3 linked regions of the Neurospora crassa OR74A genome follow. The protein of the gene in region 1 purifies or fractionates together with the protein of each later gene. This does not show direct contact. Links are inferred from orthologs where the notes say so. Each region holds a gene or a part of one and is shown on either strand. Other genes may lie near its edges.

Region 1 (6,576 bases):
GATATGGAACTAACTGCCCTTGCCCGCCTGATGTCATGTTGTCAGTGTCAGATTGTCGCACTCGATATAAAGTACCTACACCTTCGATATGTATCTTCACACACAAGCTAGAGAGTCATAAGGGTCTTCTTGACGGTCTAGATCTTTCATGATGATCGCAAGCGATTTCTAGACAGAGTCCAAGGGAACGTCATCACTTGTCATATGTCCATCGTCACAGGCGGGGATAGCGTCGCTGGTACATCGTCCGGCATACGGCAGAATGGTATACTTCAACATTAACCCCGTGAAGATTGGGGGTTGAATGGAGATTGAAAGTGTGGCGTTCTGGATCCTTTGCTATGTACTGTGTGCACTCGTCTGGGCTAGAAGCGCTCCTGCCGGTTGCTTTGTACTTGTGCGTTAGGAAAAACTTTTAATCCGAAAACTGCTGGTCCGACTTCATTCTGATAATGTTAGATTTACCTTGCTCAGTAGCTCATTTAGGATGCTTGAATTGCCATAAATGTCTCGTAAACACCAGGTAGAGAGGTATGATGAAGTCGAGTTGACATGTGAAGAGATGGCCAGGTTTCTTGTGCTACCTAAACCGTTCAGGGTACAAATACAACCACACAATATGCGGGCATGGCAGAGTGAAATGATCTTGATTTGAGCACACGGGTATCGGAACTTGTATATTCTTCTTCGTAACGAGATCGCATGTGGTGATATCCTAGGCGAGAGCATTCAAAACCTCTCCAATAGAGGGATAACTATGAGGAGAGAGGAGCTACTAAGCTTTTTTTAATGCAACAGCCGTTCGCATGTCCTCCCAAACCTAAGAATGCCACGAACATGCATACAGAACTCCAGAAACAAGTACAAATGACAAACGAATATCACAATTTTTCCTTAATCACATAGAAGACGGCAGGTGGGAATGAAAATCGACGGGCAACAAACGCCATACTGAGGTTATGCCCAAGTCCTCAACAGTTTATTATCAGTGACACCGGCCGTCATGATCCGATTGGATCGTTACCAACCCTGAGGTCGGCTATTGAACGCATGCTCGGTTCACCCCAGCCGCCCATCGCGTTCACTGACCGAGTTTACTTCCTGCTCCTCCTTTGCTTCTTCGGGGGAGGTGCTGGCGCAGCCTCGGCTTCTGACTCAGACTCTTCGAGTTCGCTGGCTCCTTCGATGTCGAGGTCGGATCCTTCCTCGTCATCTTCGACGTCAGAGCCCTCCTCCTCGCCATCCTCTTCCTCATCGCTCGACGCGTCCAGGGGTATCATATCTTCAGCAGTGCTCTTCTCCTCACCCTTCTCCTCAGCAGCCTCTTCGACCTCAGAGTCGCTGTCACTGTCGAACCCGGCAAAGTTCTCAGGGTCTTCCTCCTTGGCATCCTCTCCTGCTGAAGCGGGAGTGGTAGCAGGCGCGCTGTCGTCCTCGTCACGTTTCCGCTTCTTGGACATTTCACCGTAGCGTCCTTCGCGACCCTCCATGGTATCAGTCTCACCCTCCTCCTTTTCGGGGGCAGGCGTGAACCAAGGAATCTTGCCTCGCATGAAGTCATTGAGAACCATCTTCGCAACGCCATCAACGTCAGGCTCACCACCCTTGAGAAGTCTGCCGCCCTTCCTAGCAAGCATCTCAAGGAAATGAATATGGTCCTTCCAGCCCTTGAGCTCATATGTCCTCTCCATGTGGTGAGGTTTGACCTTGTTCAATACCGCAGGGATGTATTGCTCCGGGTTATCGACGTTTTCCACACGTACAACACCACGGAGCAGGAGATCCTGTGGCGTATCGTTCTGGTTGGGAGGAACAATGCCAGGGCAGTCGATGAGGTAGATCCTCCTCATCAAGGTGACGTACTGCCAGACCTTGGTCTCTCCGGGAATAGGGGCGACCTTAGCAACGGGCTTCCCACGAAGGGCATTGATGATACTCGACTTGCCGACGTTGGGGTAGCCAACAAGACCGACGCTGATCTGTTTCCTGTCCTTGTGCAGGATACTGAACTGTCTGAGAAGATCGATCAAAGAACCACGACCGAAGGGGTTCTTGATGCTAGATCTCATAGCACATGTAGGATGATCCTTCTGCAGAACGCGAATCCACGCGGCCTATTGTTTTCAGTTAGTCCTCAACTCGTTACTGAATATAACATATATGTATAATGTGAAGAAATGTGTGAATCATAACTAAGAAGACCACCATGGTAGAGTCTGCTCAAAGGCAGGGTGGAATTCAACTCAAACGAAACACGTCCGGTATCCCGTGAAGTCCTCCAAAACGGAGTCCATCAAATCCCCAATCCCAAGACGGGACCAGAGAGGTTGGGAGGTGGATATTAATCTCCCAGCGATGTAACAGACCAATCCCAATGAAGCGCAACTGAATGCGGGAAAGATCCTGACAAAATCCCTGGGAACCTCAGGATTTGCGCGAGGCAAGTCAAGAGATTCAAGCAGAAGGAGTGAAAGCAAATAATGGTCTACACTTACAGCAGTCTTGGAAGGAACAAGATCGATCTTGTTCAGCACGAAAATAAGATGCTTGTGAGGAGCCTCAGTGGCAAGGTATTTCTCAACGTGACGACACCTGGTTCCCAGAGGATCTCTGGCATCGATAACGTGCAGGATGACATCTGACGAATCAATGACCTTGTCTATGTGATGGTTAGCAACCCGAAGTCACAAGTCCCCAAACACAGAAGGACTTACACAGTTCGTTCCAAATACGCTTCGACTGGCCCTTTGTGAAGATAGCCTCCTTGGCCGTCGCGACACTGAAATCCTCCTCTTGAACATCGTCATCGGCAAGACCACCGCCATATCCAGAAGCACCACTTAGAAGCTTGATCTCCTCGAGTCTGGCCTGGTATGTATCCATGCTCTTCTCGCTGTGTTCTGTCAAGTCACCGATCGTGTTGAAGCTGAGTTTTGGCCTCTTCCTTTGGGCCTTGGGGCCAAAGGTCTGTGAAAACGGCTCGCTCTCAATCGTCATCTTGGCTTGGTGCTTCTTCAACGCATCCTTGGGTCCATCTCTGATCAAGCTCATGGGGAGCTTGTTGCTTTTCAACAGCACCGCTACAAGACAAGGTGCGTTAGTCTTGGTCGGCCGGACAAGTGACGGAAGAGTTGAACGTACAGTAAGGATCCTTGTCCTTCTCGGCAATCGCCTCCCGGAAAGATGTCAACGTATCTTGCGAAATGACTCTGGTGTTGTTGAACCATCTCCGGTTCGGCTCGATGACGGCTGTGGGAACATCTCTGCTCTGATACGACGCGGCCTTGACGACCTTGCCCTCCTTGTTGCGAATGGCCTTTCCCTCCTTCAGCACGTTCAAGGCCTTGATCTTCTTTGCGCTCCGGTAGAAGTTCTCGCCCTTGACCTTTGGATCACCCGTCACCTTGCCCTGTCGCTGAATGCGAGACTTTTCCTTCTTTCCTGTTCCCATTTTGGCAGATATCACTCAATGCCAGATTACCGAGTAGGTTGGTGGGTAGAGGATGCAGATGTGGAAGAATTTCGTTCTCGCCTGCGAGAGCGGCTGGGGGTATCCGTAGATCGGGGGGTTTGAGATTGACTTGAAAGAAGAAGCACACGAAAATAGGGAAGAATGGGTAAAAGGCTAGAAACGAGGCTATGGGGTATCAGATATCGGCAGAGGGTGTTGCGTGAGAATCGAGAGGATGAATGGACTGGGGAAGAAGAAAAGAAGAGAGGGAAGCGAGGAAGGAATGAGAAGGAGGAAATGCAACTCTGCGACTGGTCCCGGCGAAAGTTTTGTCAGTTTTTTTTTTGGGCGGGGTGTGGAGGCCGCGCAAAGGTCCCCATGCACAAAAAGTTTAGCGGTGTACGACGGCAGAACGCCCGCGACCAGCAAAGCTAGTAGCACCAAGAGCACTCTAGCGCCGTTCTGGCCTCCCCGAGCTTTCAGAATTTCGACGGAGTTGAAAGCCCCCTCGTACCGCGGCGTGTCCCACGATCCCGAGCCGAACCTACCTACCTAGGAGAGCGAGAGGCCGCTGCACCCGCCTGGTCCGTTCCCTCCGTCGCACGAAACCTCCGCATAGCACGGCCCGGCCAGAAGTCTCCCAACTCCGACCCCATCCCGCTCACCCCGTCTTCAGCCAACCCTCCACCTCAAAAATGGCGCCAACTCTTGCCAGGCCGTCGCTCAGCGGCGTGCAATTTATCCTTTCTTCCCCGACCACAACATGCGCTGCCACCAGCGTAGTAACACGCGCCATCGCCGCCCGATCTTTCAGCACCACCCGATCGGCTAGAGACTCGGTCTCCATCCCCCCCGATTCGCCCAACTACATCAAGGTCCCCGAGCCGCCGCAGTCTTCCGAGGTTAGGCACCCTTTCGTCAAGGGCCACCTCCCGATCCCCCGCTCCATTTTCCCAAAGAAGGGCGTCCCGGAGAAGGTCCAATCCGGCTATGTCAATCGTATCGCTCCCAAGTCCGCCGCCGAGCTGGCTGGTCTGCCGCCCAAGTCGAAACAAGAGTCGTGGCGTCGCAAGATGGCCGAGGCCCGGCGCCAGTCACTCGAGGCCGGTCTGCAGGGACTCTGGCAGCGCAAGGTGAAGCGCGACCAGAAGCAGGCGAAGGAGAGCAAGGCGCGCTACTTGGCGAACAAGCGGGCGGCCCAGGCGCCGGAGCGTCTGGACGAGGTGTTCACGCGCGCGACGATTCGCGAGAGCACGGCCAAGAACACATTCGTACCCCTGGACCCAGAGGCTTTCGTCAAGGCCGAGGAGGCGCGTATTAAACATGCAGAGAAGGAGGCGATGAAGAGCGAGGCGCGCCGGGACGCCGTCGTCCAGCTGTACGTGGCGTCCAAGAACTTCATCGTGGACGAGAAGGAGCTGGAGGAGCACGTCAACAAACACTTCACCGAGAAGATCCACAACGCCGGTCTCTGGGAAAGCGGCCGCAGCATTTGGGATTCGCAGAAGAACCCCATTAGCATGAGGGAGTTGCGAAACGAGTTCAGCGGTTTCAACGACAGAGTTACTGCCACCACTTCAGCCGCCGTAAAGACGACAGTTAGGCAGAAGAACGTGGCCGAGGAGTTGACTGGCGGCAAGTTGTAGTTGGGATGCAAAAACTCTACTATATCTCCTACGTCCTTCTCTGCCCTATCAAAGTTGTACAATTAGTCAAAGGTTTGCTGCGTTGTCGTAATGATTTATACGATTAGTGAATCGAGCAACCTTGTACATTATGGGGGTGTTGTGTACAAATAAAATCAGATCGGCCAAGGACACCCAGCCACCACAACACTCATATTGAACTTACAACGCTGTATTTCATTCCGATACCCTATCTCTCTGAGACGGTCGTTCTCAGAACACGCTTTACTTGTTGCCTAAATAGTACAATGATGCCCATGACCCTATACGCCGGTGTCAACCAATATTTCCAAGAAACCATTTCATCATGTCCATCCTCAAGAAAGCTTCGCGCACAAAGAAAGAAGAAAAAAAAGGGACAGTGAGACATCGATCTAACAGAGTCAACCCGTCATTCACGCTGGTCTAATAACAGTTGCTACATCTTCCAGCTCATATTAACCGGCAACTGTGGTCTAATGTGGTCTTTTAGCGTTTGGTTACCTCTTCTCAACAAGAAGGATATGCATGGCACCATAAGCAAGGATGATGAAGGTCATGCCAAAGAGGCCTAGGTTCATGATATCCCTCCACATTGCTGAGTTGTCGAAACCGAAAGTGGTCAAGATGGTGGCGCCGGGAACCGTGATATCGAGACCGTACTTGTGGTCAACAAGAGTGAGCTGAGTAACCTCGTTGACAATCAGTGCCTCGAAGCCGTAATGGAAGATGGAGAGCCACTGAAGCCAGAGTGCCGCAGCCGGAATGGCGTTGTGGTTGAGCAATAGACCCGCGAAGAGAAGACTGAAGAGCATAACCAAGCTGCCAATCAGGTTGGCTACACCTCCATCCTTACAAAGGATGCCGATGAACAGGCAGATAGCGGCGGCGGCCAGGTTGAAGAGGACCAAGACCAGGATAAAGACGAAAAACCGCTGGTAGTCAGCGACGAGACCAGTCATCGGGTAGATGATTGCGCCAAGCAGGATGGGTGGAATGATCCTCAGGGGAACAATGTCGAACAGGACTTTGGCGGCGAAATAGGTGATAGGTGAATAATAGCCATTCGCTCTCTCGCGTACAAACAGCAGTCTCTCTTGAGAGAACACACCCAAGCTTGTGAGAGTGCTGAAACCGAACAAGGCGAGGACGAAGAAGAAGAGGCCAAGCCTGTTCTGGAAGCCTGCAATGTCCAAGGTCAAGCCGTAAAACAAGTAGCCGGCAAAGACAGCCAAGAGAATTGCAATCGCGTAATGAGTCAACATCAACATCGGGTTTCGGTACAGGTTCTTCCAAGTCCGCTGAGACAGAATAACGAACTGTCGGAACAAGCCCACACGAGCATAGCCTTTGCCCATTGTACCCGTGTAGATGTTACCATCTGCAACATAACCGTTGGAATTTTGACCATTGCTGTTTACCGCAGCTGCGATTGCCTGGTGAATTTCTTCATGAGTACTG
Region 2 (6,203 bases), on another chromosome or scaffold:
TCGCTTGGCGCGGTCCCCTTTCTCTCGCATGAGTCCGCTTCGGGGAAGAAGACTGAATAATAGTCGCAAGAAACACTTTGTTGTTCGAACTTGAGGTTATGCATAAACAATGGATAAAAACATGTAAACTTGTACATACGTACATACGGAATGTCGGTCAATCAATTAATCTGTATCCAAACAAAATATTAAATGTTCAAGTATTTTCTGCTCTCTGTGGTATCAACTCTTATAAAACGATCTCTCGACCCGATTTTTGTTTGGTAAACGAAGACTCGACGGACTGCAAAGACCCCAGCAACCAAGTCGGCAACGAGACCCCGACTGGATCCCAAACACCGACCCGATTGTCCTCCAAGCTCCCTTGTCATCCACCCCCCGGCCACCACGCCCCGTCCGTCGCACCACTGAGACCACTCAACGCTGCATGATCAGTCTCCGGCAACTCTCCGCCGCCGTCCATCTTCCACTTCGACGACCAGCAGACACCTATCTAACTCTAGACCAACTCCGACCGCCTACACTACTAAGCTTTCTGCCACTTAACCACCACCACCTCCTCCAAAGTCCGAAAGCTTCCTCCCCTTGATCGTGTTTCCGAATACCTTCAGCTACCTACCTACCTACCTACCTACCTACCCCGCCAAATACCGTTAATCCGCAAACACATCCATCACAATGGCGCAAGCAGGCGGGTCATACAACAACCCCTTGAAGAAATTCAAGTAAGACAACATACCCGACACTTTTGCAGACAATGCACTTAAGTCAAATGGAAGACAAAACAAGACAAGATGCTAACCACTCTTTCTCCTCGCCAGGTTGGTCTTCTTGGGCGAACAAAGCGGTATGCGATTACCTCAACCTACAACACTTTCTCCACGATGTTCTCCGAGACACCAATGCTAACTCAACGATTGCGCGCAAACAGTCGGCAAGACGTCGCTCATCACACGCTTCATGTACGACTCGTTCGATAACATGTACCAAGCCACCATTGGTATCGATTTCCTTTCCAAGGCATGTTCGACCCCCGTCTCCCATTCAATTCTTTACCGCCCTTCCTTCCCAGACAGACAATGCGCGACAGTTGCAAAGACCCAAGAACTAGTAGAACAAGATGAGAGCCTTTGGCTAACTTTACGGGGGGGAAAAAGACCATGTACCTCGAAGACCGAACAGTCCGCCTACAGCTCTGGGACACAGCCGGCCAGGAGCGTTTCCGCTCTTTGATCCCTTCGTACATCCGCGACTCGTCAGTAGCCGTGGTAGTTTATGACATTTCGAGTATGTTATGTTATGATATTTCTTTTCTTTTCTCTTCCGCCTTTCTTGACCATCCTCTCTCTCCCCAAATCCCCCCCCTCACCGCCTTCCACCCCCGCTATTTCCCCCCCCCCCCCCCCTCCTCCCCTCAAGCCACCAATTTCAAAACCTCCCCCAAAGAAACAGGACACTAACATTCATAACCAACACCAGACGCCAAATCCTTCCAAAACACACGAAAATGGATCGACGACGTGCGCGCCGAGCGCGGCAACGACGTGATCATTGTCTTGGTGGGCAACAAGACGGATCTGAACGACAAGCGCGAAGTGACCACGGCGCAGGGCGAGGAGGAGGCCCGGCGCAACAACCTCATGTTTGTCGAGACGTCGGCAAAGCTGGGCCACAACGTCAAGACGCTGTTCAAGAGGATAGCCCAGGCCTTGCCCGGGATGGAGGGCACCGGTGGGGAAGGTGCCGGTGGTGCGGGCACGGGGGCGGCGGCGACAAGGATCGATGTCAGCAGTAAGGAGACGGTGGCGCAGGAAGGGTGCGCTTGTTAAGACTGACTGGACTGGTCTGACTGGTCTGGCGGCCTGGTGCGGTTTGGTCTGCTCTCGTCTGGTCTGCTCTGGTCTGATCAGGGCAGGACAAGCTGAATTCCTCTTCCCTAGGGAAAGGGCGTGCTGGTTGGGAAACCGTGACGGCTGGGGATGAAGACAGCAATGGGGATGATGATCATGTTGACGATGTTAACGAGGTTAACGATATAATGGGGTAAATATATGATGAGAGAATGAGATGGAACTTGATGATGATGATGATGGGGGGTGGGGGGAGGGAAATAGAGGTGGGTGGGCTAGACAACCTGACAAATGGGGAAGCAAACTATAATGAGAAACTTGGCTGTGCTTTGTGCTTACGGTTTGGCTGGCTGGCTAAAGCAAGGCGATCGGAGCATTAGCATGCGAAGGAAGGGGTTGGTTTGGTTTTGTCGGGTCTTAACGCTTATAATAATACAAATGATAAAAGATATAATACTTTGTATTTAGTTACCGACTTGAACCAACTGTGTCTTTTAGGTGTTGTTTAGAGTTGTTGTGTTGTCGACTGAGTGCAAGATGGAATCAACGAACGGGTAGTAGTCCAAGATTGACCTTGGATATATCCTTGGCTAGGATACCTAGTCAGGTCTCGAGCTACAGAGGTCAGTCACGTTGGCAGAAGACAGAAACGAGTAACTTGTCGAGTCAGAAAGTACTGAGGATTACTACTATAAAACAAGACAAGACATGGCAGAAAGAAAAAAACAAACAAGTACTTCATATTGTGGGTCTCCCCGTGTCTATTAAACGCCAAATTCGCCGATTCCAATAAAACCGAAAATATGCTTTGCTACTAAAGGTAGACTGATTGATCCCCCCCTTGAAAACCATGGTTCTGAATATAATGAATCTTTCCAATGACCTGTAGCGACCAACGACCAACCAACCAAGCAAGGGGTATAAGCAAGCCCCGAAAGCAGCCATCGCTCGGGGGGGAGGATTGTCTGTCTGTCCAAAGCCACAGTTACTGTTTTTACAGTTAGAGTATTGGCTGTTGGTCAACCAATTGCTGTCTGTCCTGTCCTCTTTCTGGTCGTTCCGTCTTTATACACCAAGACCCGTTCGTCGTAGTTGGGCTTTGTTGCTGGTGTCAACTAGGCAGGTCTCAGTGGCGAGGAAAGGCCGCCGAAAAAATACAGCAGAACCCTCCCCCGCATAGGGATATCGACAGCCGCGGGAGCGAGTTCGTCCGAAGAAAACAAGCAAACAACGAATGATCCCGAGAAAAGAGGTGGCTGGTTTCGGTGTTGGTGATGGTGGTGGTGGTGGTTGGCGGTGGTGGTGGTCGCGGTAGTAATAGTTACAGAGACTCGGGCGCTCAGTCGGTATCCATCTCGTCGTCATCGTCCACGTCCTCGAAATCGTTCTCGTCATCGTCATCCTCATCGACCAAGCCTCCACCAGCGACGCGCTCCGAGATCTCTTCCACGCCGCCGTCTGTCCTGACACGGAGCCTCTTGACCTCGCCGCCAAACGCCTTGGTCTTCTTGCTGGCAGCCTTCTTGGCCAGCTCCTCGCGCTCGAGCTCCTCGACGTCCTGGCCCGTCTCCTGGGCGAGCTCGGCCAGCCTCCTCTTCTCGGAACCGCGCAGGCGGGGGAGGAGGTGCTCGTTCTCGGCGACGAGCTTGCGGGCGGCGGCGACCTCGCGGGCGCGCTTGCCGGCCATGCGGCGCTTGTAGAAGATGCGCTCGCGGCGCTGGCGGATCTCCGAGATACGCTCCATGGCCTTGACCGTCTTGGCGAAGAGCTCGCGGTCGTAGCGGACGGGCACGTTGCGGCGGGCGGCGAACTGCAGGGTGCTGTCGACCACCATCTCCTTGCCGGCGTTCTTGCGGTAGGCCTTGGTCCACTTGAGCTTGCGGGGGTTGCGCTTCATCTTGAAGTTCTTGTGGCATTTGGAGCGGCAGAAGCGGAAGGACTTGCCTGTAACATTAGTTGTACCCTGGTTAGCAATTGGCCTTGACGGAGAGGTTGATGATGGGGAACTGAAGTATGACAAAAACATACCATCGTTACGCATAAAGGTAATGCCCTTGGAGGGCCAGGCCGGACGGCCGCAAAAGAAACAGGGATCGACACGCATCTTGACGGGTTATGTGGGTGGTTGTGGTGGTGGTGGTGGTGGTGGTGGTTGAGGAGAGAAGCAGCGAGCCGGGTGAGGATGGGCTCGTTGTCTGTTCGGGAGGGGGGGGAGGAGAGGGGGAAGCAAGCAACAAAGTCAACAACAGCGAAACGGTCAAGGGCGCCGCTTCTGAAAATTTCTGGATGTCGGTGTTGGAAAAGTAAAGTGGGGCGGAGGGGACGCTTGGCTTATCTTAGCGCTATCGTGCTATCAGCCGACAAGACTCGGGTTAGGGTTGAGCGTGCATATACGCCAGCCCAGACGGTTCTTTTCTCTTGATTTGACAATGATGGTTCCCGATGATCGATTCCTCGATGTAAGTTGGCCGGCAATTGCGGCTGCTTACTTTCGATGCTCTCTCGACAAGCGATGGCCATGATGCTCAAGTCGACGGGCATGTTTACTTTTCCCAAATCAGTATATTCCCCGATCCATCCAACAATACTTCTTGAGCTCACGATCTTTTCGCTTCGCGACAATGTTCAGTCACCAAGATGGCATTGGTTTCTGTTAACAGGACTCTCGCGGACCCTAACATTGCTAGCTCCACTCTCTTTCTTTCCCATCAGTTACTGCTAACGATTAAAGTCTGACACCCTCTACAATGTTCAACACCGGGTATCATCGGTGTTCGTGACTGCAATTTTTACCATGTCTGAAGAATCTATTCGAGTTACAACTGAAGGCGTCAAGTTCTTCTCGGAGACTGTGGCGAAATCGGATCTTGAATTGTCTGTCATTTCTCACAATGATCAAGACCTTCTGTGATGGAAACTCCGTCGGCAGTAGGCCAGTGTCTGTTGAAGGTGACTACTTAGGCTTTACACAAAAAGAGGTCTTCCTTGACACTTGGTTGATATAACGCATCTCCGTCTCTCAGATTGAACTTGAAGTGCAATGGACTTTCCTCACTCCTTCCCCAATCACAGTGCTCCTTTCATCTCACTCACAGCGGAGTTGAGGGTCGGGTGCTGACCGAGAGCCCCATCAGATCCACAGCGCTAACTCAAAGATGCGGGGACGGAATCCGGGGAAAGCGTCAAAAGTGGAGTCGGGTTCCCCTGAGGCTCCACCAGACTAGCTCCTGCCCTGCGACAGTAAGGGTCCCGAGATCGTTCTTTCCTGATACAAACCGTACACTAAGTATAGGAAAGTCAAGATGTCGCTATCTCTTTCCAGTTTCTTGTCGGTAATTATCCCATGCGGTTCACCGTAATCTTCCTTCTCAAACTTGGTATCTACTGAAATGTACAAAGGATCAAAATTACAAACCCAACACCTACTGCTTCCTCCCCCAGCCACAGCACACGCGCACCGGACCACTCCTCGCTCCGTGGTGCCATTAGACATCACAGAATCAGACGACGGAACTCACAGACGGGCCGCTGTGATACAAAAGTGACGTCCAGCCACTCGAGATGATTGGATTTTGGATATTGCCTGCCACTCCTACCCCGCTCAATCCTGGGTTACACCATGCCTCAGCCAGACGGTTCCAGGTCTCGAGAAGCCGTTGGACATAGTAACTACTCACAACAGAGGAAGAAAAGCAGGAGGTGCAGGCGAGAAAGGCGGAGGTGAGCGGTGGCTCCCTGTCTAGACCGTCCACTTGCTGCAAGGCAAACCGGGGAGGGGAAGTGGCACAACAGGAGGTCAAGGCTTGGGCATCTCCCCTCAAAAAGATGATATCGAGTTAAGGACACTGCATGGGGAAGGAGGGTGAACTACCACCAAGACCCTGACAGTCTAACAAGCAGTAACAATACCTGCTGCTTTATGTTGTGGTTCCCATTTCTGCCACATAAAGGGGACTCCCGTCTCTCCCACTCGTTATATATCTGCTTCTTCTCCTCGTGGCACCTGGAGAGAACACTCATCCTCGTTTCAAAGACTTGTCCAGACACACGAGTAAAGAGCAACCTATAACACTCGAAGAGTACAGCATCAACTGCTGATCAAGCAAAGAACACTCAACCACAAGTAGAGGTACGTCTGTGATCCATTCCGTGGTCACTCCTTTGAACAGCATCGCTGGATGACAAAACTTTATACCCGGTTGTCAGAACTGTCATCTCTTCCTTTCCTTCATCAACTGCATCTCCTCTGCTCACCACCACACACACGTCACTGCCTCATCTTCCTTCAACACCACATTTACCCTCACTCGACACAACCCACTAACCCAACCACAGCATCTCCTCTCAAACAAA
Region 3 (5,941 bases), on another chromosome or scaffold:
CTACCATTCGGTTGTCATCAGATCAGATCTTCAACACTATTGTTGTCTAGTGATTACCTCTAGAGAGTAGTGACTGGCTCATCTCATCTCATCATTTCAGGCAGCGGCGCGGCTAACCATCCTTGATCATTCATGAGATTTTTGGGGAAATGAAAACCAAAAGAAACCGACCTTGTCAAGCGGTTAAACTACACACTTTTTCTTGTGTAACCTTCTACCGTCCTTCCCTCAAAGTTTCACATTTCTCATCCTTCTCCAAATACGGGTGAGAATACCGTATGCTCAAGTTGAAGTTCTGGTAGAATAAGCAGGGTTAAAGCTGTGAAGAAGAAGAAGCAGTAAAGAAGCATGTGCATGATTGATCAACGCCCCTCCTTACTTACCTGGTCTTCAATTTCGAGATGATCAAGATCATACACTACACCACAGGCAACCTCAACCACAACCTCAACCTCAACCACACCACACGACACCACATGACCAGCTGACCGTTTTAAAGTTTCAAGGTTCACCCAGTGACAGACAACCCGCAAGGTGATCGTTCACCTTTGTCACACATCACTGGTCGGTCACCTTCACCATACTACACACCTTCACCACACCTTCACCATTTCTTCAACAGGCATTGAAGGCATCGAAGGCAGGGAATTCCCCGTCCTCTCGAGATTACCTTTGTCTGCCTATCCTTCCTCTTCACCAACTAACACACCACGAACAATCAACCTTCCAAGTCCCACTCGCATCAAGTCAGTCCGTCAGTCCGTCAGTCCTGTCATTTCCATTCATCCATTCATCCATCCATCCATTCATCCATCCATCCATTCATCCATCCATCTGTCCACCCCCATCTATCATAAACCGGCATTATCCGGCATTGTGTGTGTGTTTGGGCCGGCATGCTTTTCACCATGAGAAAGAAAAAAAGTTCTGAAACCCTAGTGGAATACAAGCTAGCTACCCGCTGATCCCCCGCATCTTGTCTCGTCTCGGTATTTCGCGGGTTGTTTTGTTTTGTTTTGTTTTGTTTTGTTTTGTGTGTGTGTTTTGAACGATATACCGGTTTGTAGTACCCCCTCTGAGTACCCGAGTAAGACACTTGCCAAACTAACCCCATCCATCCATCCATCTTGAATGCCGCGCGATCAATGGAACTCGGAGAAAAATATATAAAAGTTACAAATGGGGAAGGGGAGGGGGAGGCAAAAAAACAGAATTTGTCCAGTTTGTCCAATTAGATATGAATTCATACCTTAGCTCTACTCATCTTGAGAATCCCGTCATCGATAAGAAAAACACACATCAACCTTGAATTGTTTGTTGAAAGGCCGGGACAAGTTGGCTAGAAGGTCTCGGACTAACAAACAACGAACAAACCTGTATCGAGTTATAGTGTACATGTAGCGCACAGTAGCAACCTACCATGAATCGTGAGGGGTCAATGACTCGTGAGATTTGTAAAGTTGATCTTCATCCCCAAGCAAATGACATTGCTTGGCGGTGGAAGTGAGAGAGTATGGATGACTTTACATGAATCGTGTTTCACGAGAATTTGCCGTCGGTCAGCACCGGTTTTGGAGATTTTGGAAAGGTAATCAATCACAAGAAAAGATGGACAGCGTCGAGTCTCAAATGGGAAAAGGAAGATCAAATTACGATTGAGGTATCACATGAACGAACGCCGAGTAATGCTCTTTTGCTCAAGACAGAAGAAAGTTGATTGGCTTTTAGATGAACCCTTTTGAGAGACCATGTCATCCCCATGACCCAGATGATTTCGCACCCATGCGCATCGAATGAACAGAACCTGTTTCCTCCCAAAAGGTTGTTCAACCCCTAGCAAAGTCCATAACAACTTCCAATTTACTCCGAGCGGAGAGCGGCAATGCGCTCCTGGACACCAGCAGCGCGCTGCTCGCGGGTGAGCTTGGACTTCTTGTACTTGAGGGACTCGGCCTTCCACTCCTCCTTGGTCTTCTTGGGAGCCTCGGACTCGGCCTTCTTGAAGGGGTCCTCGCGGATGGCGGCGTGGGCCTCGGCGTAGAGGTCCTCAAGGCCATCAGCCTCAAGATCGTCCTCAATGTAGCGGTTGAACTGGGACTTGTAGCGCTCCTCATCGTCGTCGGCGAGGGTCTCCATGTACTCAGCGACGTGACCGCCGAAGATGTACTTCTTGAGGGTCTCGGCATCGAGCTCCTCGGACTCCATGTCGTAACCGGGGAAACGGTTCTCGGAGTGGGGGATGAAGATACCGCCGTCGGAGGCACCCTTCATGGCACCGAAGACACGGGCACCGGTGGAGGTGCGAGCAAGACCGACATCAAGGAAGGCCTTGAAGGGGCGGCGCTCGCCATCGTCGGTCTCGGCGGCCTCGGTGAGCTTGTACTCACCGTCAGCCTCCTCAACACCCTTGAAGGTCTCGTCGAGGCCGAGCTTCTTGAGGACACGGCGGGCGAGGAGGAGACCGGTGGCGTAGGCAGCAGCCCAGTTGGTGAGACCGTGCTCAATGCCGTAGGCCTTGAGCTCGTGGGAGTAGGCGGAGGCAAAGACCTTGTCGCCGGTGATCTCGGAGCTCACAATCTGGAGGATGATGTCGCGGTTGGTGAAGCGGACAACCAGGCGGTACTTGGGAGCATTGTACTTGTTCTTGGCCTGGGTGATGAGGCGCTTGCGGGCATAGTAGTCGGTCTTGCCCTCTCTTCTGCGCTTGTACTTGGTCTGGAAGCGACTGTTGGGCGGATTGAATGTTAGCGAACCCCGAGCTCCTATCGATTTTTCTCGGATTTTCAAAAAGAGAACATCTGCTTACCTGTAGTACGCGCTGTTCTTGACAAGCTTGTGGAAGGCCTGACAATCAAAATCCCCGAGTCAGCAATTATCGCTTCAGAATATTTCCTCCTCTCCGAAGCATCTTGCGTTGACTCTCTTTCTCCTCAATTTCCCCCAAGTTTCCCTCTGGGAATGGTGTGTGATTTGAACGCAGCCGCTGGTCGCTCATTGCTGAACGGCCGCGACGCACGCCGTAGGTCGTCAACTTACCATTTTGACTACTTTTGCTGGGTGCACTCAACAAACGGTCTTGAGACGGGCTGGGTTGTCAGAAGGGAAATTTCGAGATCGCGAACAAACTTTGGTGGGCAGGAATTTCGCACTACAATCCCCACAACCCTAAGAACAAGAGCGCGCCTGATTGGTCGGCTGACCGCTGGGTTGTCAACTCAGGTTGGCGACGACCGATTCACTCACCCATGCTTTGCCGTGGCGCCACGGTGGGCGACGACCTAGCGCCAAGAATTTCACGCAAGCGGCAGGCAATTGTGGGCTCTGCCAATGGCATTGTAAGTAGTCTCGGGCTTCAGTAGCCGTCGACCTCTGGCAATCACTGTCCCGAACCGAGGTCTAGTATAGTGTACCATTCACTTCACTAATCGCTTCCTGGTGCCAATGTGCGGAGGTCCAATGTTGTTGATAGATGAATCCAAACATCCTTATACCCCCAAAGTCCCATGACATTATAGTGTGATGCTTCCTGAAGAGTTTCCCCCTGAATACATTCTTGAAGCCATCGACAACATGGCGCCAACCATCCTCAAAGGGAAAAGGTCCTCCGGGTCCCCCAAGCCCAAAGTCATCCTCTTTGACATTGGCGGCGTCTGTGTAAGTCAACATGACCACATCACCACTTCACTTATATACACAAATACATCTACCCCTCACAAAACAACACCAACATAACTAAATAACTAACACAAACCCAGGTCATCTCCCCCTTCCAGTCCATCCTCAACTACGAACTCCGTCACTCCATCCCCCCAGGCTGGATCAACCACTCCATCTCGCGCTCCGCCCCTTCAGGCTTCTGGCACCGTCTCGAAACCGGTTCCATTCCCATGGACGCTGCCTTCTTCGCCGGCTTCAACCGGGACCTGCACAACCAATCCCTCTGGGAATCCTTCTACCGGTCTCACCACCACCACCACCAACAAGCCAAAAAGCACCACCACCATCACCGCTCCTCATCATCATCATCATCATCATCATCATCATCATCATCATCATCATCATCTTCTTCATCTTCTTCATCTTCTTCTTCTTCTGGTTCTTCTTCTGGCTCTGATGAACTACTATCGATCCCGCCCATCCCCCAAATCGACGGCGAGTGGCTATTCCACGACATGATGGAGCACGCTCGAGCTCCAGACCCCTGGATGTTTCCCGCCCTCCAAAAACTCAAGGAAGACGGACGGTTCGTCGTCGCGGCACTGAGTAATACGGTGATCTGGCCGGAGGGGCACAAGTGGGCGGAGAAGGGGGACTTCTTCAGCGATCCGTTGCGACAGCTATTTGATGTTTTCATTTCGTCGGCGCATGTGGGGTTAAGAAAGCCGGATCCGAGGATCTATCAGTTGGCGCTTGAAAAGGTAGATCAGTTTGCGAGGGCAAATGCTGACTCCGAAAGGGGGAAGAGGGGCGGTTGGGCAGAAGGGGTGAGGCCGGAGGATGTTGTGTTTCTGGATGACATTGGGGAGAATCTGAAGGCGGCGAGGAAGGCTGGGTTTAGGACTATCAAGGTTGGGTTGGGAAAGGCGTTTGAGGCGGTTGATGAGCTGGAGAACGTGACGGGGTTGAAGCTGGCTGGGGATCACCCGAGGATTGCGGTGAAGCCGGACTTTAGTGCTGCGAAGGAGGCGAAGGCGAAGTTGTGATAATGCTGATGATTGACATGGGGTGTTAGGTATGAGTTGATGATGAAAAAGAATCTGACTGTTTTCATGATTCATGTGTGAAGTCCTGATAACTACTAATGTACTGTTCGGTGTGCTTACATTTATGATCACTGCGAAGGACGTGTCAGACCGTTGTGAGAATATCTATACGCTCCTGGGTTCAGTCCAGACACGGCCCTGTCGTTTTCACTAGAGGTAGGTACCTCCTGGCACTTTGTATTTTCGGGAATCACGCCTTTTCAAAATGAAATTCTATGGTACATGTGTATATTTACTATTTTTGCTACTTATCCCACGAGTTTAATCGACCTTTGTCGCGCATCTCATCACCACAACCTCTATGATCCATCCACAAATGCCCAAAACGATGTAGAACGACCAGTTCAAAGTGGTCAAGTGATATATAACTTCTACTTGTCTAACGTAGTTCATACACCATCTTGAGATTCATGTTTCATACACATAGCCCCTTTTGATTTATTCTCTTCGATTCCTCATCTTTTAGACTGCCGTCTCTCCTTTTCAAGTTTGTTTTATGTTGTCTAAGTAGGTATCATCCATTCACCTCTCAGCCCACCAACTTCACCCCAGCCAAGACCAAGACCAAGATCCTGTCCTCCTCATTCCATCAAACCATCCATCATCTCCTCTCTTTACCCTCCTTAACAAAATGCCCTGAACTTTCCCCAGATTTCCCGTAGCTGTGATCACGTTTCCCTCTTCAAGCTTTGAGTTATGCTATCACTCTTTCTTCCAAAGGACCATCTTATCTTCCAAGCCACAGTGATAACCGCTAGATGTTTGTTGGTATTCATTCGCTATTATATAGAAGAGAAGCCTCATGTCTCCACATCTTATCGAGCATTCCAGTCAGGCATCCGGAGTGCGGATGAGGTCGACCATCTATGTGAGAGTTCCAGATATCGGTGAGGTATGGTGTATAGAGGGTTGATGAATTCATGATTTAATGGTGCAGTCAGTCAAATTGAAGTGGTCAACAGGCAGTGCTGAATGATATGATAGTATGAGAAAAGCTTCGTCTCATCTTAACTCATCACCTCGTCAAGACGGCCCAGAGTGTACCCGGTCTGCTTTCTTGTACCGTCCACCCAGCTGTCTCAGGCGGTTGTATCCTCGTGACTGGCAGTCAAGAAGATGGTGGACAGGGATCCGGGTTCATGTCCCGAATGCCCTTGGCTCCAGGCAATGTTCAACCC

The links.
Region 2: the proteins of NCU02546 (region 1) and NCU05235 purify together in Saccharomyces cerevisiae (affinity purification with mass spectrometry; 8 studies listed by BioGRID, with this or other methods). This does not show direct contact. The link is inferred for Neurospora crassa OR74A from reciprocal best matches to the Saccharomyces cerevisiae genes NOG2 and RLP24.
Region 3: the proteins of NCU02546 (region 1) and crp-4 purify together in Saccharomyces cerevisiae (affinity purification with mass spectrometry; 5 studies listed by BioGRID, with this or other methods). This does not show direct contact. The link is inferred for Neurospora crassa OR74A from reciprocal best matches to the Saccharomyces cerevisiae genes NOG2 and RPL5.

Annotation. Positions count from the first base shown.
Region 1 is NC_026501.1:2,683,693-2,690,268, reverse strand, and holds NCU02546 (nucleolar GTP-binding protein 2), read right to left. Parts: upstream 3,784-6,576; 5' UTR 3,452-3,783; coding exon 3,142-3,451; intron 3,081-3,141; coding exon 2,715-3,080; intron 2,660-2,714; coding exon 2,496-2,659; intron 2,115-2,495; coding exon 1,095-2,114; 3' UTR 636-1,094; downstream 1-635. Other genes in the region: NCU02545 (hypothetical protein), read left to right, coding at 4,147-5,097; NCU02544 (ABC transporter), read right to left, coding at 5,616-6,576. UniProt on the Saccharomyces cerevisiae protein: GTPase that associates with pre-60S ribosomal subunits in the nucleolus and is required for their nuclear export and maturation.
Region 2 is NC_026504.1:5,663,356-5,669,558, reverse strand, and holds NCU05235 (ribosome biogenesis protein RLP24), read right to left. Parts: upstream 4,105-6,203; 5' UTR 3,955-4,104; coding exon 3,879-3,954; intron 3,795-3,878; coding exon 3,190-3,794; 3' UTR 2,486-3,189; downstream 1-2,485. Other genes in the region: NCU05234 (GTP-binding protein ryh1), read left to right, coding at 679-725, 822-847, 932-1,020, 1,158-1,287, 1,480-1,829. UniProt on the Saccharomyces cerevisiae protein: Involved in the biogenesis of the 60S ribosomal subunit. Ensures the docking of NOG1 to pre-60S ribosomal particles. Activates and recruits ATPase AFG2 to cytoplasmic pre-60S ribosomal particles.
Region 3 is NC_026505.1:5,645,381-5,651,321, forward strand, and holds crp-4 (60S ribosomal protein L5), read right to left. Parts: upstream 3,215-5,941; 5' UTR 3,040-3,214; coding exon 3,037-3,039; intron 2,845-3,036; coding exon 2,807-2,844; intron 2,726-2,806; coding exon 1,861-2,725; 3' UTR 1,630-1,860; downstream 1-1,629. Other genes in the region: NCU04332 (epoxide hydrolase), read left to right, coding at 3,520-3,654, 3,756-4,703. UniProt on the Saccharomyces cerevisiae protein: Component of the ribosome, a large ribonucleoprotein complex responsible for the synthesis of proteins in the cell.